7 linked regions of the Mus musculus genome follow. The main gene of each other region encodes a partner of the protein of the gene in region 5 in a complex. Links are inferred from orthologs where the notes say so. Each region holds a gene or a part of one and is shown on either strand. Other genes may lie near its edges.

Region 1 (4,087 bases), on a different chromosome or scaffold from region 5:
TCCATACCTTTAATGTAAAAGTGTTGACTTTCAATCAATCAATCAATCCCTGTTCTGACACTTCATTGTTTTTCTAAGTCCTGCTTTACTCTCCAATTTAACAGTTTTCCTGTAAGGTTCTACCTTTTCATGGTGTTCCAAGCTCAGCATCACTAAACTCTCAAGCTCCAGTTTTTTGGACTGTATTACTCATTCCCTATTCCCTTCTAACTATGTATGTTTTACTTTTTTCCTCTAACACATTTTCTCCAAAATAGGGTCTCAAACATGGGAAAGAAAACTAGCATCAAAACACACACACAGGGGAAAGCAGAGGTTAGTAAAAGCAGATAGCAGAGATGGAGCTGGGTGAAATAGTACCATATCAATGCCCGGTTTAAAAAAAAAAACAACAACAACAACAAAAAACAAACTGAAGTGTGTTGCCTGGTTCTGGTGGCACTGCCTTTAGTCCCGGCACTTGGGAAGCAAGGCAGGTGGATCTCTTGAGTTCTAGGCCAATCTGGTCTATACAGCAAGTTCCAGAACAACCATGGCTACAAAAAAAAAAAATCCTAGTCTGGGGATGGGGACATGTCACCAAAGTGCGGGGGGGGGGGGGGGGGAATCAAGGAAGATGCTGAATGTAAAGCAAACACCCAGATGCACTTTTGCCCCATTTCATCCTCAAGCCTAACATAAGTCCTACTCAATCTCAACAGTTAACACAAGAGGAAACTAAAAGCAAGAAAGGTAAATCTAGGAGAGACAACAAGAGTAAGAGATAAGGCTAAATCTAAGAAATGCAAAACCTTTTTTACAGCCCCCCCCCTCTAATGTTTCTGTAGTACCTTCTAACAACCACTCTTGATAGTCTTGGAAAAAGAAAAACCAATCCTTCCTCACTCTAAATCTAGGGCTTATATTGCTTTCTCACCTAACAGTCCTTCTAACCACTCATATTTTCACCATTTCACACAAAAATCCTCCCACACCCTACCTGAAGAATGAAAGCTAAGCAAAAAGTATTAGAGTCACAGTTTTGGAGAATTTTCAGAGACGAGCTAAAGGGGGAGGGGGGACTTACATACCAGCAGCCAAAAACAATGCTTGAAACACTAAAAGGGAAACCACAACTACCAAAACCAGGAAGTATTTAAAACAGGAGCCCAAAGCATGCAAGCCTCTCCAAGAACAAATTGCCGGCAAGGGAGGAAAACTTATCAGAATGCCAAAATACAAAGAGGTAGAAAATTAGCAAACTAAGATATTCAAGAAACAGCGACCGAGAGAACAGCAATGATCAAGGAAAAGGACGCTGAGTAAAAAATACAGAGAACTCAGAGCTGAGACACTACTGACTGCATAGGCACCATGAAACATACAAGCTACAGTATACATCCAGGCCTAGGCCCCACTCCCACGGAAAAAGGCAATAGTTTCCTTTTGAATCCACAATTAAGAGACATCTTAAAAGAACTGTAAGATGGAAACAGCAAGGAAGAACGTCATCACCAAGTAATGGCTGACTGAAGCCAGGCTATTAAGTCAAGAATTTTTTCCCCATCGAAAAGCTCTAAAAGGCTTAGCTTTAATATTTGAGGAGACCTTTTTAAAAACAGGGTAGGAGCCGGGTGTGGAGGCAGAGGCAGACGGATTTCTGAGTTCGAGGCCAGCCTGGTCTACAGAGTGAGTTCCAGGACAGCCAGAGAAACCCTGTCTCCGGGGAAAAAAAAAACAAAAAACAAAAACCAGGGTAGGAGCCAGACATGGTGTCTCATGCCTTTGATCCCACAGAGGCAGGCAGATTTCTTGAGTTCAATGCTAGCCTGATCTACACGGTTAGTGCCAGACCAACCAAGACTATTTAGAGGCCCTAGCTCATAAAACCAAACCGTAAAAAAGAAATAAAATAACAGGGTTGAAAGGAGCACATTGGTCTTCCTTATACACGCAGGCTGAATACTTTCGCGGTTTTATTATCCTCACTTTTTAAGACTTGGGGATCCCCCACCCCCACGCACACACTCACAGCCTCTGATACTAACGAGGACGAACGGTTTAAATCCTGGCCTCCGAAAGTTCAAGGCCTCCTCCCGCCGCCCACTGGGCAGCCCAGCTTATTTTCGGCCTCGAGGAGGGGGGAGGGGGCCACGCGGCGCCCCGCGGTCTGGGCGGCTCTGGCCGTTTCTCAGGCCCCTAGCAGGGCCCGTGGACCCACGCCGGAGCCGATCGAGGAGAGGTACCAGCAGGTCCGAAGCTCGGGCGGGGGACAAGTACCTCCGCTGCCGCCCTCTCCCCGCCCCCTAAAAGACCGAAGAGGACGACCGCGGAACGACGGCCTCCTCAGCCCCAGGTAGAGCAAAGGAGAGAAGCAGAGCCTCGCGCAATGCTGTCTCACCGGGGGCGCGCGGACGAGACCAGGCGGCCGCGCGCGCCGCGGCCGTGTGGGGGAGGGGCGGAGGAGTTGAAGGCCGCGCGTCCCAGGAACCGCGGGAGGGGGAGGGGAGGAAGGGAAGGCGACCGCGCCGGCCGAGGCGACGAGCACGCGTGCGCGCGGCGGCCTGGGCCGTTCTCCCCGCGCTCTAGCCTCCGGCCCAGCCCGCCGCCCCTCCCCCACCCGGCTAGCGCGCTCCCTTTCTCTCACCCGCCGCCGCCGCCTCCGGCCGCCGACTGTCAAACAGGGAGGTCCCGCCGCAGCTGCTGCTTAAGTTTTCGTATCCCTCGGAGCCTGAAGCCGCCGCCTCGTCGGTCCGCCCGCCTCAGCCGCCGCCGCCGCCGCCTCCTCGCTTCCTCAGGGGCCGCAGCGGGCTTCGACTGCGCCACTCGCACCCCGCCTGGGCAGCGTTGCGCGTCAGCACGACCTAGTGCGTCAGCACGCAATCATGAGAGCCGCTGGGCCCTCTGGGAACCGTAGTGCGTCGTGCGCAGGCGTTGAAGCCACAAGGAGGACCTTAGGCGAAGGGACGTGCTACTGAAAAGTCGAAAAACCCCGAGTCCCGTCGGGCACTGCGGGGAAAGGCGTGGCTCCGTACCGAAGCTGCAAGGTCGGCTGAAAAAAAACTTCTGTAGGAGGGGGGAGGGGCGCGGGGGCCGCAACCCACAACACCCGGGAGTAGCTCAGACGCACGCCTTCCGCGCACAGAGTTCTGGGAGCTGTAGTTCGGTTTTAGAGAGAAAACGCGTAAGACTCCTCCGCTAGGCAGGGTCGCCATTTTATGTGACCGTGTTGGGTGGCAGTGGCTCAGCAGCTTTACCTAGTCACTGTGACCATGGTTTTCTTTAATGTGTACGAGGCCCCACAGCACCGAGTCTTCTTCGCAGGAAGAGGTGCTTCAGAGTCAAGCCACCTGACAGCTCTGGAGCCACTTGAACCCGGCTTCTGGCCCAGTATCCGGTGCTTTCCACAGTTTCCACCTCTGTAGTCCTATCTGAAGTGGGGCTTGCAGACCACTAAAAAATACTTTCTCTTACCTTTGGGCAAAGAGACTAAGTGATTACTTTTCGCCTATAGAGACTATGCCATGTAAGTGGAGGAATGTGAGAATGCAGTTCCATTTCCTGGCCCTATAGCACGGTTCCGGGAGTTTGTCCCAGTGCCTCTCACTCGGTAGCAAGGGCCCCACCACTGAGGCACTGAAAGATCCTGGCAGAATGTAAAAGGACACAGAAGCCCTGAAATTGGCAAGATAGACGTCAGTGTTAGCAGAACTAGCTTCACTGATTTAGAAAAATAGAGGTGCACAATGCTCTGGCCACTCCTTGAACCTGTGTGTCTGCCAATGTTCTGACCAGGTGTGTGCTCATTGCTGCACCTTCATTAGACTCTCCTTGTACCCCTCCATACCCATTTCTTGAGAATAGACATTGTTTAGATCTGGAAATCCCCTAATCTCCCCCTTCTCCTTTCCCCCCTGAGGGCCTATAAAAACTGGAAACTCTTTCCCCTCGAGGACGACTCCTCTACCCCTGCGTGGGATATGAGTTGTCCCCAGAGCTCTGGCTTTCCCCAAATAAAGCCTCATGTGGTTTGCAACAAGCTCGGTCTGTCATGAGTTCTTGGGTGTCCGATATTGTCCTGAGGCCTGAGCGAGGGGCTCCTCTCGGA
Region 2 (3,977 bases), on a different chromosome or scaffold from region 5:
ATCAATCTCACTGTTGTAGAGTTGTTGGGAGTTGCAAGGGACAGGCAGGCACCAGTATTCTTAAAGTAAGTGACCTCACACGGTCTAGGAACTAGCACTTAAGAATGAACCAAAACAGGACAGATTTAAGGGGAAATGATTTTTTTTTTAAGTTAATAAGGTGAACCACAAACCATCAGTGCAAAAGATCACTGTATATTGCTTCTTCCAGAAAGGTCCTGGACTGAAGAAATACACTCCATGAATCACCTCTACTTTCCTTCATCTTTCCAGTCAGCATTTGTTTTGCCCACTTCAAATAAAGCAGCTGATGCTCCAGGAAAAAATGGCTCAAGATTGATTTCATGGATGGTAAACAGCTCCAGAGCCAGATTACAAAGTAACTACACTCCTTTGTTGTAAACAGTGTTACTGTAAACTAGGTGATACTTACAGTTAATATTTCATATCTCCTTGCTGCCAACACTGTGTCTTGTGTGTATGTCAAACTGAATTCTCTCAATATTACAGTAGACATATTAGAACTGAAATAATCAGAAACTTAAGCTGAAGGAAATACGCAGGAAAAACTGTATGGTTCTAGGAAAATATAGTATTACAGATGCTATTCAAGTTTCTGAAGAAATTGCTTATTTTGGATTTGACTGGGTAATCTCTTGGGTCAGCCATTAAACTTATGATCCAAATAACTATATAGAATCAGAATAAATAGAAACTTGGAGTCTAGAAACTGGAAAGAAAAACTTAGACTATTTACTATAGTAGTTGGTAAACAGTAGTTATCATAAAACCCCAGAAAAGTCCTCTCACCTTCATTTTATACACAAATATTTTATCAGGCGACTTTGTGATAAGATAGAACTAATCAATGTCAATACTTTTGTTCCGCTTTCCCTCTGTAAACCTTTTGTAACAGAAACAAGATATTTAAACATGAGGCTTAGTGGTAATTCTTCACAAGGCTGTATGTCAGACTAAATAACACACAAGATACTTAGCACATGATATGCATTTAGTCTTTGTCACTTTGACTGGTATGGCCTATGAAAAACAATAAAAGGATTAATAAAATTAAGGAGCTCTGATGGCTCAGTGGTTAAGAGTACATACTGATCTCCAAAGCACCCATACATTGTGGCTCACAAAGACCTGCAACTCTAGTTCTTCTGGCCTTCTTGTGTAGTGTACCCCCACACATACAGCAGATATTCACACAAACATACATGAACAAACATGAGCAAAAATAAATCTTAAAAAAAAAATCACAGAATGGGATAACATGGGATTAAATTTCATACAGGAAATATTTCAATCAAAGATGATAGACAAGGCAATGGTCCCAAAGATTGTACCACCAGTGAAGTCATAGCTAACTTGAAGTTTCCAAAACCATTTATTATTTTTGGAAGAACAATGAAATCACTGAAGACACACTTCTCAGATTAAATCACCTCGTCGATAAGCAATTTATTGGGGCATACACATAATATGTAAATCGTTTAAGGTCTCTAATGGCATAAGGAAGAGACACAAGAAGAAAACCAATCAGCTATTGCACAGCTCTCCATTTCAGATCAGAGGCCTTCAAGGTTGATTAGAGAATCTGTACAGGTAGCCAAGAGACTAAGGTTAAATGGATGAATCAATGGGTGAATCATAAGAGCAGTGAACTAGGTGTGCTGTGGTGCCTGAACACTAGGCCAGAAATGTTACCTCAAATTTGCAATCAATAAGCCTAAGGAAAGAGAAAAACGGAAATGTCACTCACCACAATCATTCTGCCATCAGAAGTAATAACAGCCACAGTCCCTGAGAACCGAGTCAAGGAACGTATTTCTTAAAGAATACAACCTGAAAACTTTCAGCCTGGAAAGAGTTCCAATTACTTAAAAAGGAAAGAAGAGACAGAATCAAGATTCCACACTGCCACTGCTCTTGAGGGAGAAAACTGAAGTTTTTAAACTTGTTTCAATTGTACCTCGAAAACAGTTCATCACATGGGAGAAGGGTATGTGACCGCTTGACTCTGGTTTAAACAGCAGTGTTTCCAACCTATGACACTGAGTCAGGCAGACTCATTTCTTAAGCTTTAAAATAAAAACTAGGTGAGTGCTAATTAATGTTGAATTACTTTATGCAAGTAAAGGACCTTCTCATCCAAGACTCTGTCATAATTAATGCCATCAAGTACCAATAATTCTTGTATCATTAAAAGCTCTCTGTATTTAACTATGTGTCTTAGGTTTTGCCCCGACTTTAGAACAGCAATTCTAACTTAAAAAATTCAACCGGGCTTTTAAAAGCTACTCGCCACTCTCTAAACACCATGACAAGATTTCAAGCAGAGGTATGGGACCTGAAGCCCAAATCTGAGAAGCATCTATCTGTTGTATGCTATCTCTGCTTGGGGGACCTGCAAACGCAGAGTTCTTAGGAAAACAGTGCATCTTATTCCGGATGTTGGGACACACGATCAAAGGCCGTGTGCAGAGAAGTTCGAACTACACCGAGATCTGTGCTGTGGGTGCAAAAAGCCCCGAGGCCGGCCGGGAGCTCCCTCCACGAACCCCGACCCCGGGTCCTCCGCCCACCGCCCACCACTCCGGGCCTCCCGTGCTCCCTCCCGCCCCCGCCGCCGCCTGAGCGGTCGCAGCAGCCCGCCGGAGGATACGGTTGATGTAGTTCTCCAAAGCAGACGTCATGCTGCTGGGCCCGGAGGTCCCGGGAATCTGCGAGGGCTCGGCAACGAGGAGACAAAACACCGCCCGACAGAAACCCGGACAGCTTCGCGCCCGCTGGCGAACGCAAAGACCGCGAGACTCTGAGGCCTCAGCGGCGACGAATCAGGGACGGAAAGGAGCCGGCCAAACAGGAAGCCGGGCGGGGCTGACTAGTGGGCATGCGCAGTGTGTTTCCGCCGGGCTTCTGGGCGGCGCTCGCACGCCGAGACCAAGGCGGGGACAGGCAGTTTATGGAGAGGTCACTGAAGGTGGGCTGGAAGGAGAGCCTGGAAGGAGGCTCTAGCGGACGGGAAGACACTGTGGTAGTTACTAAAGGTAGTGTGGGAAGACACTTTCTGCCGGAAGACACACGACATGAAGATGGTAGCATTGGCTACTGAAGGAGAGAGATTCTTTGTTCTCATAGGCGACATAGATGCAGGGTGGAGGGAGTTCTAGCTTTCTCACGCGTGAGCCAGAAAAGTTTAAAAAGCCAAATAGCCCAGTACAAAGGGAGCATATTGTAGCTCCATGATGTGCATTTTCGGAGAATCCAACTGTATACAGAATGTTAGTGTTGAAGAATGAAAAATTACTGGCCTCTTGTAAGAACATGAACTTTTTACCTCGGAGCCCACCCCCTCCCATCTAGAAAACATTTTTGAGATAAAGGCTTCCTGGAACAACCTCAAAATGAACCAGGTACTCCTTAGTTACGTAGGTTCCTTGATAGGACATGACTCCTTAGTTACATAGATTCCTTTGGCAGAACTCCCTAGTGATGTAAACTTGTACTTTCCCTGCCCAGTTCTCCCCCTTTGAGTTTTACTATATAAGCCTGTGAAAAATTTTGGCTGACCGTCGAGACTCCTCTACCCTGTGCAAAGGTGTATGAGTTTCGACCCCAGAGCTCTGTGTGCTTTCTGTTGCTGCTTTATTTCGACCCCAGAGCTCTGGTCTGTGTGCTTTCATGTTGTTGCTACTTTATTAAATCTTACCTTCTACATTTTATGTATGGTCTCAGTGTCTTCTTGGGTACGCGGCTGTCCCGGGACTTAAGTGTCTGAGGGAGGGTCTCCCTTCGAGGGTCTTTCATTTGGTGCATTGGCCGGGAAACAGCGCGACCACCCAGAGGTCCTAGACCCACTTAGAGGTAAGATTCTTTGTTCTGCTTTGGTCTGATGTCTGTGTTCTGATGTCTGTGTTCTGTTTCTAAGTTTGGTGCGATCGCAGTTTCAGTTTTGCGGATGCTCAGTG
Region 3 (3,500 bases), on a different chromosome or scaffold from region 5:
ACACTCAGCCTTTAGAGGCACTGCTTCTCTAGGTTTTCCAACTCAGCACAAACAACAAAAATATTACCTCCTCTTTTCATTACAAATCCCCACAGATTTATTTTTTAAAGTCCTAAAAATGAAAAGCCTAATGGAATTCTCACCTTTCACCACAAATATAGCAGAAGCTGAACCGAGGATTTAAAAATGTGAACCTAACAATAGTCTCATTGGAAGAAAGAAGAAAACAAATAAATGATTTGAAGTTTGGGCTCAGTACAACCATCTAAGAAAAGCAGAACATGGAATTAGGTAAGTACATGAACGCTAATGAGCAGCTCTGCAATACAAGGGACTGGAAATAATCAGAATACAGTAACAACAAAAATTCCAATGTCTTACTTAAGCAAAGCAATATGAAATCCAAATTTCTACTTAAGAATGAGTAACTCACCTAAATTAGAGGTGATCATTTTGGTCAAATGATCTGGCTTTGTCTTTTTTTTTTTTTGAACAGAGGCTTAAGAAGCCACCCCTACACCCCCACTGCCTTAATCTCCTGAATATAAAAACACGTGCCAAAAGGCTAGCAACAGAAAAGCTCTCTTTAGCCCAGAAGCAAACAGCAGCTCTCCAGTGGTGCTCCCCAGGTCTTCTAGCTAGGGAACTTGGACCAGAGCACCCCTAAGGACCCCAGGCACCTTACACACCACCACATCTCTAGCTGCTCTGCCGTACCTTCTTGGGCTGCGAGACCGCTCCCTCTTCTCTCTGCTGCTTTCCTTTTCTTCCTTATCCCTCTTATCTTTATCTTCATCTTGTTTTTTCAGAGACGCCAATTTTTCTTGTTCAATCTGCAAGCACAGAGTTGAGCACTAAGAGCATCCATTAAGGTACTGACACGGGTGCTCCAACTGCCATTTCACAGGCGTGACTGGCTGCAAGGTGTTCCATGTTCTCAAGTTCACTCTTACAACACTCTTTCATTTATCCTTTATCATTAATGTAAACTTATACCATTTATATCATTTCACTTATCATTTATATAGTCACTCTCTTGGGACTTTATAATTACTACCTGTGCGAGAAGTTGCACACACTTTTTAGATACTTTATTTAGACTCCCTTTTAAGGTAAATGCACTTATACTTTAAGAACTGAGAAAAACAAAAACAAAGCACTCTGTCCAATTGTCACTGCCTCTGGGAATACGCCACTCTAATTTCAAATGTGGTAAGCCACAACTCAGTGGGCAGACACATCCAGCAAACTAGCCTAGCCGGATCAGAGGCTACAGTAGCTCAAAGAGACAAAGCCCTCAGGGTAACCATCCGACCGTGTATGACATCTCAAGTCAATACAAAAAGCATTACTTGTCTCTGCTTTATCTCTTCCTTCTTCAACTCTAGGAAAGCAGAAGGGATTCCGGCGATATTTTCTTGTGCACTCAACAGCAGGGGCCACAGCTCTCCCATGAATTCTCTAGCATTCTTCCCATTCAAAAACCCAGTCAGGTTGATTTGCATCATTTTGGAATCTGGGTTCTGCAAAAAGACATGACAGGAAGAAAAACAGGTTACTTCGAAACTAGCCAACCTATCTGAAATTCATTTAAATTAGTATTTAAGTCTACCATAAGGGGCTTAGGTACATATATATGCTCTACTACTGTAAAAATAGTTTTCCCTAGTTGCATCTTGGTAATGTAATTTCTAGATAATCCAATTCTCCCTCACTGAACCAAAAGCATTAGAGCAGCCTTTGTGGATTTCCTAAGTATTTAGACTGTATGGCTGTTAGTGGGCTTATGCATTTATCAACTCTAAAAACAATCATGGAACATCTATAAATTCTTGCATTTACTAACAGTTTTTGCTTGGCTGGAAAACTTGCCCCAACCAAAACTTGAAAACGTACATAAACACTTCTCTTTACACTACAGGTAACTTTCTATAAACTATCTAATATCTAGTGCTCAGTTACAAGAACTAACGAGTTAAGCATGCACTCTGTAACATCTGAAGACTAAGCTAAAAGCCTGACTACTGCACATGACAACCTGTTACTAACAATGCCACAGATGCTCAACTGTCCACAAAACTAAGAGTCAAGATTTCTACAAGTAATTTGGGTTTTTAAACACTAGATTCTGTTGGTCAAGCAACAAGGTCCGTATAACAAGCACAGCTCAATAGCACAAAGCAAGTACAGATTCCAGGTGTCTTCAGTGTCTTCTTGGAACCTTGGGGGTTTGGAATCGCCAAGTCCCCTGTAGAGAAAGATGTTCCCTTGGCTTGCTTCCGACTCCCTACTGCAACTCAACCACCTTGAGTTTAATGTTATATCATTTATCTAAATTGCAAAAGACGAACAAGCAATAATGAGTACACAACCACAAAAAAAGAAAAGATTGTTTAAAAAGCTCTACACTTTAATCTCATGCTCACTACAGGGGAATACTACCAGGTATTTAGGTTTTAAAGTTCACTAAAATTCAAGTCAGTAAAGCATTTCTCTAATAAAATAGTAAATTAAGCATTTAAAAAACATCCTCCCATGTTTCTGGTCTCTAAAGGAAATAAATAAATATACTTAAACATAAGGTCCTTTCTTAAAATTAAGTCTTAAAAAACATTCAAAGCAAAATAATTACCACATTGTTTTAAAAATGAAATACCTTATCGTTTGGAATGATAACTGTTCTGTCAAAATTCAAGCATGAACTCTTGGGAACAGGAGTAATGTAAAAGTAAACTCACGTCAGTACAGTTACCAAAAGGTTTTATGGTACGGCTTTACTGTCCTTTGGGTACCATGACAAAATAGCAAACTATGTTACAACAGAAATAATTGTAAACAGTTATATCATCTTGTATTATTTCATATTGGAAGATAGAAACAATTATGTTAACTGGCTTTTATAGGACTGCCAATCCATCTGCCTGAACTTCTAACTACAATGTAAATAAAATCCTGTGCCTTAATTCTAACTGGTAAGCAACTGACTTGTAACTACAACTAAAGTCTTCAGTTCTTTTAAAAGCAACATCCAGTCAAATCAGATCGCCCCTCATGCTTCAAATAAATGTCCACCTCAAAATGCTACTTTAAAGAGCAGTACACAGCTTTACCAATTGCTCTTGTTTGTGTTGTTGTTGTTGTTGATGTTCGGCCACTTTACACAACTCACCTCCAAACACACACTGCGTCATCAAGGGAGTTGGGTCAGAGCGACATTGGGACACTCACTCTGCTGTGACCTAATAAGGTGATGGTGCTATACTTCAGACGCAAGGAATAACTTCCATTTTGGTTCAGGCCTTTTAAATCATAAATCACATTATCATTAGAAAATTGCTGTCAAAGTAACTTAACATGTAACAGCAAAATTACAAACAGTAAGTTTGATTTTTTCACCTGTGTAGCTTTCAAAACTATGCACCTTCACTAGACCTCCAGCCTTAACAGCTGTTTTACAAAGTGAATTCTTCTCACAACAAACATTGTACAGTAACCCTTCT
Region 4 (4,038 bases), on a different chromosome or scaffold from region 5:
GGAGACATGTCAATTGGTAAAGTACATGCAGTCATGAGTTTGGATCCCTACTCAAACAATGCAGTGCACAGTGGCCTGCAGCCGCACCTAGTGCTGGCCAACTAGTCTTGTTAAATCCATGAGTTCCAGGCTCAAAAAGCAGAGAGCAATAAAAGATACCTCTAGCACATACATCCACACATATGAGTATGTACAAAGCAACCCCACTCACTCCCTTGATGCAAAAAAGAAAAAAAAAAAGTGAGGCTGAGCACGTCTGTAAATCTCAGGAGGCTGAGGCAGGATGGGAAGTTCAAGGCCTTTACTGGGCTACATAGCAATTTCTTGCCTCAAAATAACAATGCCAGAGCTGGACAGTTCAGTAGTTAAGAAGACTGGCTTTTCTTCCAGAGGACCCAGATTCAATTCCCAGCACCCACATGGCATCTCACAACTGTTGATAACTCCAGTCCCAGGGGATCTGGTGCCCTCACACAAATAACAGTAGGCAGAACACCATTGCACATAAAAATAAATAAATCTTTAAAAAAATTTTTTTTCCATTTTCATGGCTATTAATCTAAACATTGAAGAGGCTCAGACAAGAGGATTTCCATGTGTAAGTCTCTCTTAAAAGACTCTGCCTCACACAAAGGAAAAACAGAGACGGGAGAGGTGGTGGAGTTACAAATCCTTCCTTGCTGCTCTTGCAAAGGACCCAGGTTTGGTTCCCAGCACCTACATGGAAGCTCACAATCACCCATCTTCAGGTGAGCCAACAACTTCTGGCCTGTTTGGGCATTAAACACACACAGGCAAAACACTCAGACAAATAAATCTAAAATAACAACAAAAACTTATTGCCATGGTAGCTGTGTGGTAGAGCAGGTACTTTGATCCCCAACACCATCACGATAGAAGCCTAACAAACCATAAGTCTCACCCCCACCAGCTCTATTCTGGCATGATCTAATCCAGAATGCAAGTCCTTTATCACTCCCCGCCCCCCTCTCATTTTGTTTTTGTTCCCTCTCCTCACAAACGAAGCTCTTCTTAAAAGTCTTAACTCTCCCTTCCTTTTTTTTTTTTTTTTTGGTTTTTCAAGACAGGGTTTCTCTGTGTAGCTCTGGCTGTCCTGGAACTCACTCTGTAGACCAGCCTGGCCTCAAACTCAGAAATCCGCCTGCCTCTGCCTCCCGAGTGCTGGGACTAAAGGCGTGCGCCACCACCGCCTAACCTCTCCCTTCCCTTCCTCTTAAGAGAAGTATTATCTAACCCTATTAACCAGAGCAAGGAGAAAAGGCTAAATAAATAACTCCAGCTCTGAAGAGCTTTCTTTGGGTTGGGTCCTTGACGCCTTGTATATTGTTCTTACTGGCCATCTTCTGAGATGTCTTTTTTAATAACAACTTGAGGAAAAATAGCCTGGGTACTCACAATAATACAACCTTCTATCCGCATATTCACTTGTTCATACAGCCACACCTGAATTCGAGATCTCTGAAATAAAAATAATGACTTTAGAAATGTAAACAAATCCCACTCCATTACTTTGTTTCCACAATAAACGACTTATCTTAAAAATTCCAATAAATATAAGCCAAAAACTAGAACTAGTTAGTCTTCATCTAAGAGCTAGCAACACTGGTTAACCTGCTGAGAAACATTTAATAAGTGCTCGGGCAGGCCTGTCCAAACTAATTTTCCTACTCTGAAAATTTATTTTTGCTTCTGGCATGAATACACTTACAGTTAGAACTGTTCACAGGATAGTACAAAGCGAATCTGGCGATTAAAAATTACAATGGCTTAAAACGATTTTTCATCTGTGTTGTAACACTCTAAAATAAACATCGCTAAAATCTCCTCAAAGAAGAGCATTTGCCACTCGCTTCTCTGTATATAACGCCCCCACTCCCCCAAACCCCGCTTTGGTGTCTTTTCTCCATTCTAAGTCCAACTATGGAAAAAGCACTATGCAACTGTCACTGCTAAATCCGATGACAAATCGTTCTTACAGAGTAATTTTAATAGTAAATATAATTACATTGTTCTTACAGAATAATGGTAACTGTGTGCATCCTTAAGTCAGCACGGACATATTAATAATTAGCGCTTTCCCTGTGACCTTATCCTCAACTCTGGTTCTCCCCCCCCCCCAATTTTTTAGTCTAAGCACTAGAAACAGAGAATTTGTTACAAAGAGTCAAACAGGCCCAACTTTCATTTCAGTAACAGTAAGGAAACAACTTACGTACATTTTGCAAGTATCTGAAGATAAGGTTCTGCAGCACGGCGATCAAGGAAAAGAACTACACAAACAGCGGAGCCTCCGCTCCCAACCGCGCCGGACTCTCCAGCGCCCCAAGGTCCGGCCGGGCTACATCCGCAAGCACAAACGACCGCCGGGAGCATGCGCTCCCTCCCCACCGCCCTCGTTTCTCCAACCTTCCCGATGGCCCACATCCTCCTCTCCTCCTCGGTATCCCCCGCTTTCATCGCGGATCGCCAGCCTGGCCGGGTCCACCCGGAGCCCGCCTTCCGCCTCCCGCCTCCCGCCGCCCTTCAACTCCGCGCGCTTTCCTGCCTCCCCGTTCGCCCCAGGGCCTCACGGGAAGCGGCCCGCAGCGGGCTGCCCGGCTCCCCGCCCACGCTCACGGCGCCTACGGCCCCCAAAGCCCCGAGTTCACGCAGCGTAGGATACGATGGGCTGCACCATCACCTTCTGCACCTTTTGGCCCTGGCCGCGGTACGCCATGGTGGAAGTCACAAAGACCACACGAGTAGGAAGGCCGCCTCGGAAAGCGACTTCCGGAAGCAAGACCCGGAAACGGAAGTGCAGTGGTCGTCGGCGACGCGGGCCGGTCCTGGGGAACGCCTCTCTAGGCCAGGAGCCGCTTTTTCTCTATGCTGATAGACTCCGCCGGCGGCCTTCCGACTCAACCGCTCTTTGAAGTCGAGGTCGGTCCTACAGCGCCACCTGGAGGTAGGCTGAGAGGCTTGCCTCTGCCTAGGTGCTCTTCTGAGAGCTGCTCTGGAATTTAGAGGCGGCATCTTGTCCAGAACCATCTGCAGACTCCCCTTATTTGTTTTGGGCCCCAGAGCTAGTCTAGATGGTCATGCCCGAAGCAGTGGTGGAGTTGTGGCTTGTTCAATAACAGATTCAACCCTCATCACCTTTATGCAGAGTTAACTGTTGCAGTGGCAACTGAAGATGGCAATCTAACTAGCTTGGAGGTATTGAAATCGGCTTGTTGGACTCAGATCTCTCTCAGTTGTGTGACCGGTGATAATTAAGTCATTAGGCCTCAGCATCTCCGTCCCGCAAGGGGACAGGAGGTGAAGATTCAGGGAGGTAGTAGTGCACAGGTGCTCCTAGAACACATCTGTAATCTCAGCTTGTGGAAGGCGCAAGGTGAGTATGACCTTAAGCTAAGTAGTACGTTCCAGATCTAAGCTACATGAGGCCTTGTTTCAAAACAAAACAACCTACATGGTATACAACCTGATAAACTTAAGGTAAGTTAGAAATGTAAGTTAAAAAAAAATGCATTTAATGCAGATACCTTGGGCCCAGGGGAGATGATTCGGTAGGTGGGACATGAGGTCTGTCAACCAGCACCTACACAAAATTACATGCCTGTAATTCCAGAGACAGGAAGGAGGGTGCCTGGGCTGGATGGCCAACTAGTCTAACTTAATCGCCAAGTCCTAGGTTCAATGAGAGACCCTGTCTCAGAAGGTAGGGTGAAGAGTGACTCAGAAGGACACTTGATGACATCCTTTGGCCTCCACATGCACACAGAAAATTGTTGAAAATGTATATGCCTAGTCTACTCAATGCCATCGCTTAGCAACACAACATAGCAGCCTTTCTTGAAGCTGCAGCTGCCCCCCACCTCACCAGAAAGTACCTAGAGCTGCTTACCAGGGAAATGATCAAAATTTAAAATGCAAAGTCTGATTTTTTTTTTTTTACAGAATTCATATTGCTTTCACACCATCTTTAGGATGAAGAATTGTAAGTCAGGAGCTATCTGGATGTGTGTGTGTGTGTGT
Region 5 (4,279 bases):
CTCTATTAATATTCAGGAATGTAACCCACCAGGAATTCTACATTATCACTCATGCTTTATTTTAGCCAAATGGCAATGGAATGATAATCTACAATATCATCTAATAACACTTCATATTCAGATTTTCCAGTCTACTTATTTTTCTACAATATCCATTGTGCACTCCTATAACATCCACTACAGTAAACTACACGAGTGATATTACCTATTCCATTCTCCCATGAGAAAGTAAGTAGCACGACTTTTCTATAGTAACACACACCAAGTACAGGCTGAACGTTTCAGCAACCTTAAACTACTACATTACAAACAGTATTTTGCCAGGCACGGTGGCAAAGACTTAATTCCAGCACTCAGAAAGGAGGAGGTGGGGAGAACAGGGTCCTTTTGTGAAGAAAATATTCTGCTGAAGAATTCCCTTATGAGCAAGGCAGTGGTCATGCCTTTAATCCCAGCACTTGGGAGGCAGAGGCAGGTGGATTTCTGAGTTGGAGGCCAGCCTGGTCTACAGAGTGAGTTCCAGGACAGCCAGGGCTACACAGAGAAACCCTGTCTCGAAAAACAAAACAAAACGAAACAAAAATTCCCTTATGCTATCTAGAGATGCTGGTTGGTGGCAGTGAAGGCCTCTAATCCCAGCACTCAGGAGGCAGAGGCAGGATGATTCTCAATCTAATGTCAGCTGAGATAGAGTGATTTCAAGTCAGGCAGCACAACTTGTGAGACCCTGTCTCAATATAAAAGTAAAAAGAGGCCAAGGAACACATAAATTCAAATTATTTTCCAGTGAGTCCTTCATTTTGTGAATTCTCTTCTTACTTTTGTTTTCTGTGTAGCCCTGGCTGTCCTAGAACTCCCGCTGTACAGCATGCTGGCCTTGAACGCAGAGAAAGTGTGAGGATTCAAGGCATGGGCCACCATCACCTAGCTGTGAATTCTTTTCTTAATGAGACTGGCACATCAAACAGTAAAGTGTATGGGGTCCTTTTAGTACCCAAATTTTTCCTATTTGAATAGAAAACCAAAGAGAACTGGATAGTGAGAAGTATCTCCAGTTAGAAAAATTAAGAAACCTGGCAACTTACCAGACGCCAGGAGGATTAAGAGAAAGGTAGCTAAGCACACTTCCTAAGTTTGGGCAAGGTGGCAACGGGATAAATACAGGCAATACAGTCCAATACAAAACTCATGCACAAATAAGAAAGCCCACACCAAAAGTGCAAACCAGTCAACCATTTTCACAGGGCAAAAAACATTCTCCCTTGGGGGCTGGCGAGATGGCTCAGCAAGGTAAGAACACTGACTGTTCTTCCAAAGGTCCTGAGTTCAAATCCCAGCAATCACATAGTGGCTCACAAAACCACCAGTAATGAGATCTGACACCCTCTGAAGTCAGCTACAGTGTACTTATTTATAATAATAAATCAATCTTTGGGCCAGAGCGAGAAGAGGTCCAAAATTCAATTCCCAACAACCACATGAAGGCCCCAACTGCTACATCTGTACTGCTACAGTGTACTCACATACATAAAATAAATACATCTTTAAAAAAAATTCTCCTGTAATTAGAAATCTCTATACTTTGCGCTATACAAAATAGGGTCCAAGACAAATCAAAGCAGCAGCAGCAGGAGAGTGAGCACCTGCCTAGGATGCTGGCAAAGTTATCATAATAGAACCTTTAAATGAGATGAACATGTTACTGTAAATACATTATAGTTCATATCAGGGAGTAAAGAAACGGCAAGTCTTAGCATTCTACCTAGGTTACAGTCCAAATACAAATGAACTGGGGCTGAGCTCAAGGTTAAGTGACTATTAGAAGCTCTCTGCGTGCCATCCCCAGAACAGGGGAAAATTTTTTTAACCTTAAATGCCTTCTCCCTCAAATTCCTCCTGAAGTAATTTTTTTTTTTCCAATTTCAAGCAGGCTATGAGTCACCGTTAAAAAAACTTCAAAAATGTTTTAAAAGAATTCTTGTGAATTATGTACAACTACTTCAGAAGGTGTTCAATGCCATTCTGGCCAACTACAACAGTCTTGACTCAACAAGAAACTAAATATTTCTAGTTATTTGCTTGATATTGTATAACCTGCCTCAGGCTTGACCCAAGCCTGTTCATTTGAATTAAACCAGCATGCCTCTAGTTAGGCTCCACTTCCGATATTAACTATGCAGGCGAAATTAATTTATTACCTTCTGCCCCATCCTAGGACATTTTGTCTTTCCTGAGTTAGAAGCCTACACTAACCACTTACATACTTCGTATAACTGGTCAAATTTAAGGAGATCTTAGTCTAAAACGTCTTGCAAATCGGCGTCATCATTTGCAGATAAAACCATGCTAGGTCTACTAAGTCCTCCTCAGTGCAAATGGTCCGATTCGCCAAGAAAACGGGCCACTGCTCCGTTTAAGCTGCCGGATACTGGGTGGGCAGAGGCGGCTCGGCCCCTCCATTCCTGGAAGACCGGCGGGGTCTGCGCGCTGGCCCCTCGCCCGGGCTCTGGGCGGCGGGCAGGGCGCGGCGGGGCCCGGGGGCCTGAGGCCGTTAGCAGGCCGCGCGCACGCGGCTTTCCCGCCTCCCTGGGAGCACAGCGGCCCGGCCTCCCGAGCCGACCCCAAATCCTCTACCCGTCGTCCTCGCCCGGCGGGGGTACCCTCCTCACCTCACGAGCTTCATCCTAGCGACGCAGTTCTCCCTTCTGGCCCGACTGTTCACAGAATTCAGGCTCCAGAGATCCACGGACTGGGGTTATGAATGGCCGGAAAAGCGCGCGGAGGCCTGCGGACGCGCGACGAGAACGCGGAAGCTGCGCTGCCTTCCGGCCACCGGGAGGGCGACAGCGGCCCCTAGCGACGGGAGGAGTGCTTTGCACCTTCGGAGGGCGGGAGGGCTGGTGGACGACATCTTCTGCAGGTTTTTTTAGACCAGTTACGAAGTTATTAAAACTACTTGTGAAGGCCTGGAACTTTCACATGTTAAAGGAAGAGAAGTTCTGAAAGAAGCCCACTAAGATTCGAGTTTAATACTTGGGATTCACATGTTGGAAGCAGGGAACTCGGTCCTGCAAGATGTCCTTACTTGGCTTGACATTAAGCTAAGCCAATCAAATCTTTGGACAGAATGGTTTTCCTTTGGGGATGCAGGGTACCTTCTTAAAACTAGAAAAACCACTCTCAGGACAGAGTTTTAAATAAATTTTATATATAGCAAGTCCTTCGACTTAAAAAAATGTATGTGGATATTTCAGTTAAAGTTAAAACAAAAAATTCAACACCTTATTTGCAATAACCACACTGTTAAATGTAGTTACTCAACATATACATTTGTCTCTAATTACAAACATAGTGCAAATAATTTTGAAAGAATTTGGATGATATTAGTTTATTATCATTTGATTCTATAATTTATTATTTATGGCTCTAGAGAGAATATCGTGTCTAAAAGCAAGGAAATACAACTGCTTTCTGCGCTCTCCAAAACTGCTTACATGGAACGTGATTTTGTCAACAAACACCCCTGTCCCCATGTATGGGAACTGGTCCCAAGGATCAATGAGACCAAAGAAAGAGGCAGGCAAGTCCAGAATTGCAGTGTGCAGCTTAAGGGTGACTTATAACAGAACAATGGGCCTGGACATTAAGAAAAGCAGAGGTCCTTGTAATGTGGGTTATAAAACAGGGGAAACGTTATTTCATAGCTAGGCATGGTGGTCCAAGTTTGGGCCACAAACTCTATCTCGAACCTTCCCTTCCCCCTAAAAAGAGATTTCAGCCAAATAAGATTATACCTTGTCTATTTTAAGCTAATCAGAGCCAGGTACATTCTTAGTCCAAGGTCTGGGCAGAAAGGTTCACACAACTCTCGAATGATTTTGTCTGTTTTATGCTGGAAAGCCAACCAGGGTGACTCAGGGGTAATTTTAATACTTTCTACTCAAAATAATTTTAGTAATGGCAAGATAAATCTACAGTTCTTGATTGATATTTATGAACAATTAAATACCTCCCTCCATTAAAATGTATGCTTTATAAGGATACATTGTGCATATCATTTGGTGCAATAATGCCAGTACTGATCACCTGGTGTTCCTTAACCCCAAATCCCCTTTCCACTTGGGGCCAGCTTCCTTCTGACCCATCTCCTCTCCCCTCACGTCTGTAGAAATGTCTAACATCTCGGAGTTCATCAAGCTCACTCTTTTCTTCAGATGTTTGTACGTGGAATGTTATAAATCTTCCTAAAACCTATTCATTCTCTCTCAGCTATGTGGAG
Region 6 (2,643 bases), on a different chromosome or scaffold from region 5:
ACAATTAAAGGGTTAAAATGAAGCCTGACAAGGTGACTAAGCCTCTGATAGATCACTTCAAAGTCTGAAGCAGGTGCAGAGAATTTGAGTCCCTGTCTCAATAAATAAATAATAAGAGACAGGTATAGTATGGCTGGATGGCATATCCACAGGTATTGCCGTATAGTCTCTATATTTTAGGAATAAGATGTGTATTATGTTGTCTAAGTCTTGGTGTTGGTTGGTTTTATTTTTTTTTGAGACAGAGTTTCTCCTTGTAGCCCTGGCTGTCCTGAAACTAGCTCTGTAGACCAGGCTGCCCCTGAACTCAGAGATCTGCCTGCCTCTGCCTCCCAAGTGGTGGAATTAAAGGTGTGTGCCACCACCACCTGGCATGATGCTTATTATGACAAAATTTAAACAGAAGAATTAATATTGGATGGAGCGGAACTCACCTCTAATCCCAGCATTCAGGAGGCAAAGGCAGGAGGATTGCTGTGAGCTCAGGGCCAGATCCTCCCCCCACCAAGTAAACAAAAGTACCCCCAAACTCCTGTATTTTCAAATTGTCTGTCATTGTCCATTCTCTTTGGCTGTGACTGCTCTTACCCCATTCCTAAAATGGTTTTTTGAGAGTACAATCTACATCAGGCTATACATGTATCCTTAAGGGATACCATAAAAGAAGTACAATTATCTTTTCTGAGTTGTTTGTAACGTGAGAAAGTGCACAACCCCCAACGTAAGGCAGTAATCAGCAGAAAAACACAGGTGACTAGAAAGAGAGGTGTTCTTTCTATCTATCTATCTATCTATCTATCTATCTATCTATCTATCTATCTATCTATCTATCTATCTATCTATCTATCTATCTAGTCTTGAACCACATCTGACTTCAAGGAATAGCTTTTGAGTGACCTAGAGCAAACAACCCCTCAATGGGTTGAGAAACGGGAGCCTGGAGCTCGTTGTGGGAGCCATTAGTGAGACTACTGGGGCTGACACTGATCACCAAAAATACTTTTCCCAGTGCCCAAATTCTAAGAGACAAAGCTGGGACCGCGGGGGAACCATGCTGCCACGTTAGCTTCTAGGTACAAGAGTTAATTTTCCTGGTTGCTTGTAGTTGAAACCCTCTTGGATTTCCCCTTCTTAGTAGCCCAGAGCCGTGGGATAACTCTCAGAGGCCGTTTGCCATCGTCCTACAGCAGCCAGGCAAAAACAAAACAAACAAAACAAAACCCTAAAACAAACTCTTTGGACTACTTGTTCCAGAATGCAACGCTCAGACTAGAACGTGATCACCCGAGAGCCACTAAGCGGACCATCATGCAACACTCTTCGAAGTAGGCGGGCTCCGTGAGGAGACGGCCCAGTGTTTCCTAGGCAACTCCAATCCCGCGACAGACGGCACTTCCGCTTCCGCCTAGGAAAAGACTGTCTACTCCTGCGTCTCGGTGGCGTCTTTCTCCCGCGCCTGCACGAACTGAGGTTTTGCGTGGCGGCGGCGGCACCGGCAGCGGCAGCGTCTCTCACTTGAACGCCGCGAGCGGCAGCTTCTCGTCTGTGTCCTGACCTCGGAGCCTACGAGCAGAGCGGCGCGATGACGGACCGGTACACCATCCACAGCCAGCTGGAGCATCTGCAGTCCAAGTACATCGGCACGGGCCACGCCGACACCACCAAGTGGGAATGGCTGGTGAACCAGCACCGCGACTCCTACTGCTCCTACATGGGCCACTTCGACCTCCTCAACTACTTCGCCATTGCCGAGAACGAGAGCAAAGCCCGCGTGCGGTTCAACCTGATGGAGAAAATGCTGCAGCCCAGCGGGCCGCCCGCGGACAAGCCCGAGGAGAACTGAGGTGAGCGCTGCCCAGTCTTCCCCGTGTGCCGGCTGCGAGCCTCCTTGCTCCTGCATCTCGACCATTCCGTGTTGGCTGTGTCGCCTGACCTGCGTACCTGTGGAGGATTCGGAACAAGTCATGGAGAGACTGTCCGGGTCCGCTCCTTGTGAACTGTGCAGAAGGAGTGATCCCAGCATCGGCAAGCGAGGGAGAAGACTGCACGAGAGTGATGCGCATTTCGAGTCTGCTTTTCGATAGTTGATGTCTTCTTGCCTTTTTAAAAAACCATATATATATAAAGTTTAGGGTTTGCTCTATTCTTTGGTATGGATTGCTGTGTTCTTTGGGAGGTTATTAGGAGAGGGTTCTGTGGATCAAGGTTTTGTGAGAGTATAAATAGGAAATGGGGGCAGAAGCACAGGGCAAGTCCTTAAGTCGTCACACACACTTTTATGATATTATCCCACCTCAATAGTCTTCACGCGTACAGTGTGTCTGGTCCCAAAGAAACCTTGAAGCGCGGAGATTGCCCATATCCCTTTCCTACCCTTCCCTTTATGCGCTACCCCTTACCCCTTTTTCTTGATGATTACCCTTTGTGTCTTCAGAAATGATAAACTGGCAAACAAGTGGTATCACGTCCCCATCCTGCTCAGCGCCCCATTCCCCCCACCCCTCTTCCCTTTTCACCAGAGCATTTTCCAAAGGTTTGAGGGCATACATTATGCCAGCTTGAAGAGTTTACAACTTTAAAAACCATGCTTACAATGCTACTTTACTGAGATGTCATTTGAGAACAGATTTTAAGGAATCAAGA
Region 7 (3,500 bases), on a different chromosome or scaffold from region 5:
AGCTGTGTTCAGCTTGGGAAATTATAGATGAACTTTGGTTTTCCACATTTTCCTAGAAAATCCCTATGTGGGAGACTCCACCTCTGCCTTCCCCATGGCTCAGGCTCTCCAGACTTCAGTCTACTTGGGAGAAAGACAGCACCTATCGGCTAAATGTGCTAAAGAAATTCCAGCACCACAGCTGTAGCTACGGCATAGGGCAGAGAAGCATGCTCGTCCCCGGTAGGGCCCAGGTAAGGGCTGAGACCTTAGTAGCTATAGCAACCCTAGCCCTCCCTGCCATCACAGATCTGCACACCCTCCTATCTCTGTCCTGAAATGTAAAAGCTGCCTTTGGAACACCAAAGAAAGCGGGAACATTGGTCACTGAAGCCTGTGTCAGGGCCAGTAGCATAAGGCAGCCCTATTTCTGCTGAGCCACTGTTGCCATGGGACCCCAGCTTGTCAACCATTCCTCCACCCCAAGAGTGTGCTATTCCCTCCTGATCTGTTTGGGGCCCAGTCACCCCAGCAGCCCTGGAGGGCCCAACAGCACTGGGAAGGTCCCTGCCACCATGCCAGCAAATGCATCTAGGCCCCGTGAGCACCTCCCCTGGGATCTTTCTCGGTCAGGCAGAGTGCCCCACTCACCGCATTCAGTTGGTCCACCTTCTTCTTCTCAGGTGGCCTCATGGTAGCTGCTAAAATCTCATCTCCTTTGAACTCTTTGTAGAGCTCCTGTAGCGTCTCTCTCGTCTCCGAATTTGTGTTTTTCAAATAATAAGATGGGTCTTGTTTGGCCTTTTCCTCATCTATAAAACAGTATATTGGAACGGAGCAGCCAAGGCCCCAGAAAACCAAGGCCCCAAAGAGCCTCAAGATGAGCTAATAGGAATAGAGATGGGGAAGGCCACATGAGAAGAAGCCACAGGTGAGTTGATTAGGGCAGGGTTCGCTGGTCTTAGCACAGCCATGACTTACTGCCCTTGATCATCTGGCAGGAGCTCTAGTAGGTGCAACAAGGGGGTTGGTGGAGCACACAGAAGACGCTGTCATGGTGAGTGGCCCCAGGCCTGAAGGGATGTGGGAGTCACCCTGTTTCCTGTATTACCTCTACTGCAGCCTTTTCACAATGATGTTTTGCTTTTGTGAATTTAAACGTGTTTATTTCAAGGGAAGGAAGGCCACATGTTGCCTGCTAGGCCAAAGGCTGTAACTTACTGGGCAGTGAGCTTCCCTAGGCCTGGCCTCTGGGTCTCCTGAGCGCAGTTATCCCTGAGTTGTGTGTAGCTGGCTCCTTGGCATGGCACAAGTGAGCTCAGAAACTTGAGCCACTGCATAGTATGTTATAGTACATTACAGTATGTTACAGTGTGGTCAATGGTGTGGACCAAGCACAGGAAGCAGGAAGGTCAGGGCCCTAGACAAGTCTCATGTCACCCAGTCTCACCTGCAGCCCTGTCACTGTACCCTGGAAAGAACAGTGGCCAACGGCAATCCAGAAAGCACAGTCCCACCAGAGCTAGGGAAAGGTAGGTGTCTGTGTTTCAGCTGCTTCTCTAACCGTCTGACAGACATGGTTGTGTACGCTTGTAATGCCAGCACTTAGAAGGGAAACACAGGAGGATGCTGCACATTTAAGGACAGCCTCATCTATACAGCAAATGTCATGATAGTCAAAAGCCACTCAGAAGCATAGTGTCTGGGCCCCCCAGAAGGAAGGACTTGCCCGAGAACATGTAGTCACTCACAGTAGCCTTTAGGTGTCCATACCTGGGTCTATTATTCTCATGTTATTCTTCACATGGAAGAAGTTGCTAACATTGAATTTGTCCAAATTGGTGGGGTCCTGTGAAAAGAAGAGAACACTCAGAAGTACAATGGACTGTGTCAAGCACTTCACCCACCTGTGCCAGATGTTGAAGGCTGGAAGGAGGCCAAGGCTGTGCCCCAACCCAGTGACAAGCAAGATGGCACAGACTGCCTACCTGTTCATCAAGCAGTGTGCCCTGCCTTAGGCCTCAAAAATAAGGAATGAGGCTTGCTGCCAGGTAGCACAGGATGTGGACTGGGAAGCCATTGGACCAAGCTTCAGTAACAACCACAGAGTCGTTTAACCCTATCCTAGCCTGTGCTCCCTCGAGGCCATTCACACACCACCACGGGGACAACTGTGTAGCTGCTGTTCTGAGAGTAGGGATGGGACCTGAAAAGCAGCCTAAGTGTCCTAACACCTAAGAGAGTTATGAGGCAAGTGTAGCCCTCATACAGGAGCCATGAGAGCCAGAGGCAGTCATGGTCCATGGTGGCTGTAGGGGGAGGGGGTGGCACTAAGCAATAGTTGGGTAGCAGCAGGCAGGGGTGTTATGGTACAGGTGACCACCAAGCCTGGTGAAGAAAGCTGGGGGGCAGAGTGCAGAGCAGAGGGCAGAGCGGAGGGTCAAGGCAAGGCACTTCCTGTGAAGCTCTTTACCTGCAGGGTGATGATGTCTTGCCTGGAAAAGGGCTCATCAGTCAACAGATCCCGCAAGTTCTTGGCCTTGATGTTTAGCTGCTCCACTGCCTAGAGCAGTACAGAGATATCACAGTTCCTCTGGGCCGGCACAGAGGTATGAGGTAAACAAGCACACAGGGCCACTCTGGGGTAGTCTCAAGAGTTCTCACCTGTCTGGCAGAGACTAGCCAAACCAACCTGGCCGCTTCTGGCAAGAGTTCCAACATGGGCCCTCCTGTATCATGCCTGTCCTCATCCTAGACTGAGCCAGGAATGGAGACAGCTCATGTCCCTCCTGCCAACCTGGCCCCTGTCCTAAGAACCTGGCCTCTTTTTATCTCCCTTTACTCCCATGTTTGTTCCAGAGTCTGGTCCATGCTGAAGAGAGGGTAATACTTTCCAGGCTACAAGGAATCCTTGCTTAGGCAGCCCAAACTGCCAGCCTGGGTTTGAGGTCCAAAGGCCACTAGAGTCACCTGACCTTTATTTTAGAGATAATGTCTTGTGCTAGAGGCTACGAAAGGTATGAGGACAGGCATGCTCACTGTTCCTGGTTCAACCTCAACACTCAGCCAGGCACACGTTCGGGCCCAACATTAGATAGTCCCACTCATTGCAATGGGGGTCTACCTCATAGGTGTAGACATTGCCAGTTGTCCTGATGGCCACAATATGGGTGTTGTCAGTGAACACGGAATACAGCACTGGACAGTGGTACTGCCCTAGAGAGAAAGCACACACAGGACTAGTGGCCCTCAAGGGCTTTGATTAAACAATCATGATAGTACATATTTTAACTGTAGCTACCCAGGAAACTAAGGCAGAAGAACAGAGTACAAGGCTAGCTGGACAATCTACCACGACATTGTCTCAAAGTGGAATTCTAAAAGGGAGTGGCAGCAGGGTATTTGCCTAGCATGTGCTAAGTTCTACATCCAACAAGTACCACAGGAGAGGAGAGAGGGAAGAAGGGAGGCTGGAGGGAGACAGGGAGGACGGGACAGAGGAGGAAAAAAAGAGACGGAGG

Evidence for each region.
Region 1: Snrpd1 (region 5) and Srrm2 share a complex: the UniProt entries of both Homo sapiens proteins name them as parts of the minor spliceosome. The link is inferred for Mus musculus from reciprocal best matches to the Homo sapiens genes SNRPD1 and SRRM2.
Region 2: Snrpd1 (region 5) and Lsm8 share a complex: the UniProt entries of both Homo sapiens proteins name them as parts of the U4/U6-U5 tri-snRNP complex. The link is inferred for Mus musculus from reciprocal best matches to the Homo sapiens genes SNRPD1 and LSM8.
Region 3: Snrpd1 (region 5) and Srrm1 share a complex: the UniProt entries of both Homo sapiens proteins name them as parts of the minor spliceosome. The link is inferred for Mus musculus from reciprocal best matches to the Homo sapiens genes SNRPD1 and SRRM1.
Region 4: Snrpd1 (region 5) and Snrpe share a complex: the UniProt entries of both Homo sapiens proteins name them as parts of the SMN-Sm complex. The link is inferred for Mus musculus from reciprocal best matches to the Homo sapiens genes SNRPD1 and SNRPE.
Region 6: Snrpd1 (region 5) and Sf3b5 share a complex: the UniProt entries of both Homo sapiens proteins name them as parts of the minor spliceosome. The link is inferred for Mus musculus from reciprocal best matches to the Homo sapiens genes SNRPD1 and SF3B5.
Region 7: Snrpd1 (region 5) and Ppil2 share a complex: the UniProt entries of both Homo sapiens proteins name them as parts of the minor spliceosome. The link is inferred for Mus musculus from reciprocal best matches to the Homo sapiens genes SNRPD1 and PPIL2.

The regions. Positions count from the first base shown.
Region 1 is NC_000083.6:23,801,938-23,806,024, reverse strand, and holds the start of Srrm2 (serine/arginine repetitive matrix protein 2), read right to left. Parts: upstream 2,801-4,087; 5' UTR 2,627-2,800; intron 2,371-2,626; exon of another isoform or gene 2,028-2,370; intron 1-2,027. UniProt on the Homo sapiens protein: Required for pre-mRNA splicing as component of the spliceosome. As a component of the minor spliceosome, involved in the splicing of U12-type introns in pre-mRNAs.
Region 2 is NC_000072.6:18,847,458-18,851,434, reverse strand, and holds the start of Lsm8 (LSM8 homolog, U6 small nuclear RNA associated), read right to left. Parts: upstream 2,801-3,977; 5' UTR 2,703-2,800; coding exon 2,672-2,702; intron 1,810-2,671; coding exon 1,769-1,809; intron 1-1,768. UniProt on the Homo sapiens protein: Plays a role in pre-mRNA splicing as component of the U4/U6-U5 tri-snRNP complex that is involved in spliceosome assembly, and as component of the precatalytic spliceosome (spliceosome B complex).
Region 3 is NC_000070.6:135,343,147-135,346,646, forward strand, and holds part of Srrm1 (serine/arginine repetitive matrix protein 1), read right to left. Parts: intron 3,300-3,500; exon of another isoform or gene 1,524-3,299; coding exon 1,353-1,523; intron 834-1,352; coding exon 718-833; intron 1-717. UniProt on the Homo sapiens protein: Part of pre- and post-splicing multiprotein mRNP complexes. As a component of the minor spliceosome, involved in the splicing of U12-type introns in pre-mRNAs. Involved in numerous pre-mRNA processing events.
Region 4 is NC_000067.6:133,607,481-133,611,518, forward strand, and holds the start of Snrpe (small nuclear ribonucleoprotein E), read right to left. Parts: upstream 2,801-4,038; 5' UTR 2,738-2,800; coding exon 2,684-2,737; intron 2,265-2,683; coding exon 2,238-2,264; intron 1,480-2,237; coding exon 1,417-1,479; intron 1-1,416. UniProt on the Homo sapiens protein: Plays a role in pre-mRNA splicing as a core component of the spliceosomal U1, U2, U4 and U5 small nuclear ribonucleoproteins (snRNPs), the building blocks of the spliceosome.
Region 5 is NC_000084.6:10,616,317-10,620,595, reverse strand, and holds the start of Snrpd1 (small nuclear ribonucleoprotein Sm D1), read right to left. Parts: upstream 2,801-4,279; 5' UTR 2,684-2,800; coding exon 2,670-2,683; intron 1-2,669. UniProt on the Homo sapiens protein: Plays a role in pre-mRNA splicing as a core component of the spliceosomal U1, U2, U4 and U5 small nuclear ribonucleoproteins (snRNPs), the building blocks of the spliceosome.
Region 6 is NC_000076.6:13,007,041-13,009,683, forward strand, and holds Sf3b5 (splicing factor 3B subunit 5), read left to right. Parts: upstream 1-1,409; 5' UTR 1,410-1,582; coding exon 1,583-1,843; 3' UTR 1,844-2,143; downstream 2,144-2,643. UniProt on the Homo sapiens protein: Component of the 17S U2 SnRNP complex of the spliceosome, a large ribonucleoprotein complex that removes introns from transcribed pre-mRNAs.
Region 7 is NC_000082.6:17,094,253-17,097,752, forward strand, and holds part of Ppil2 (RING-type E3 ubiquitin-protein ligase PPIL2), read right to left. Parts: intron 3,196-3,500; coding exon 3,104-3,195; intron 2,543-3,103; coding exon 2,453-2,542; intron 1,829-2,452; coding exon 1,753-1,828; intron 792-1,752; coding exon 631-791; intron 1-630. UniProt on the Homo sapiens protein: Has a ubiquitin-protein ligase activity acting as an E3 ubiquitin protein ligase or as an ubiquitin-ubiquitin ligase promoting elongation of ubiquitin chains on substrates.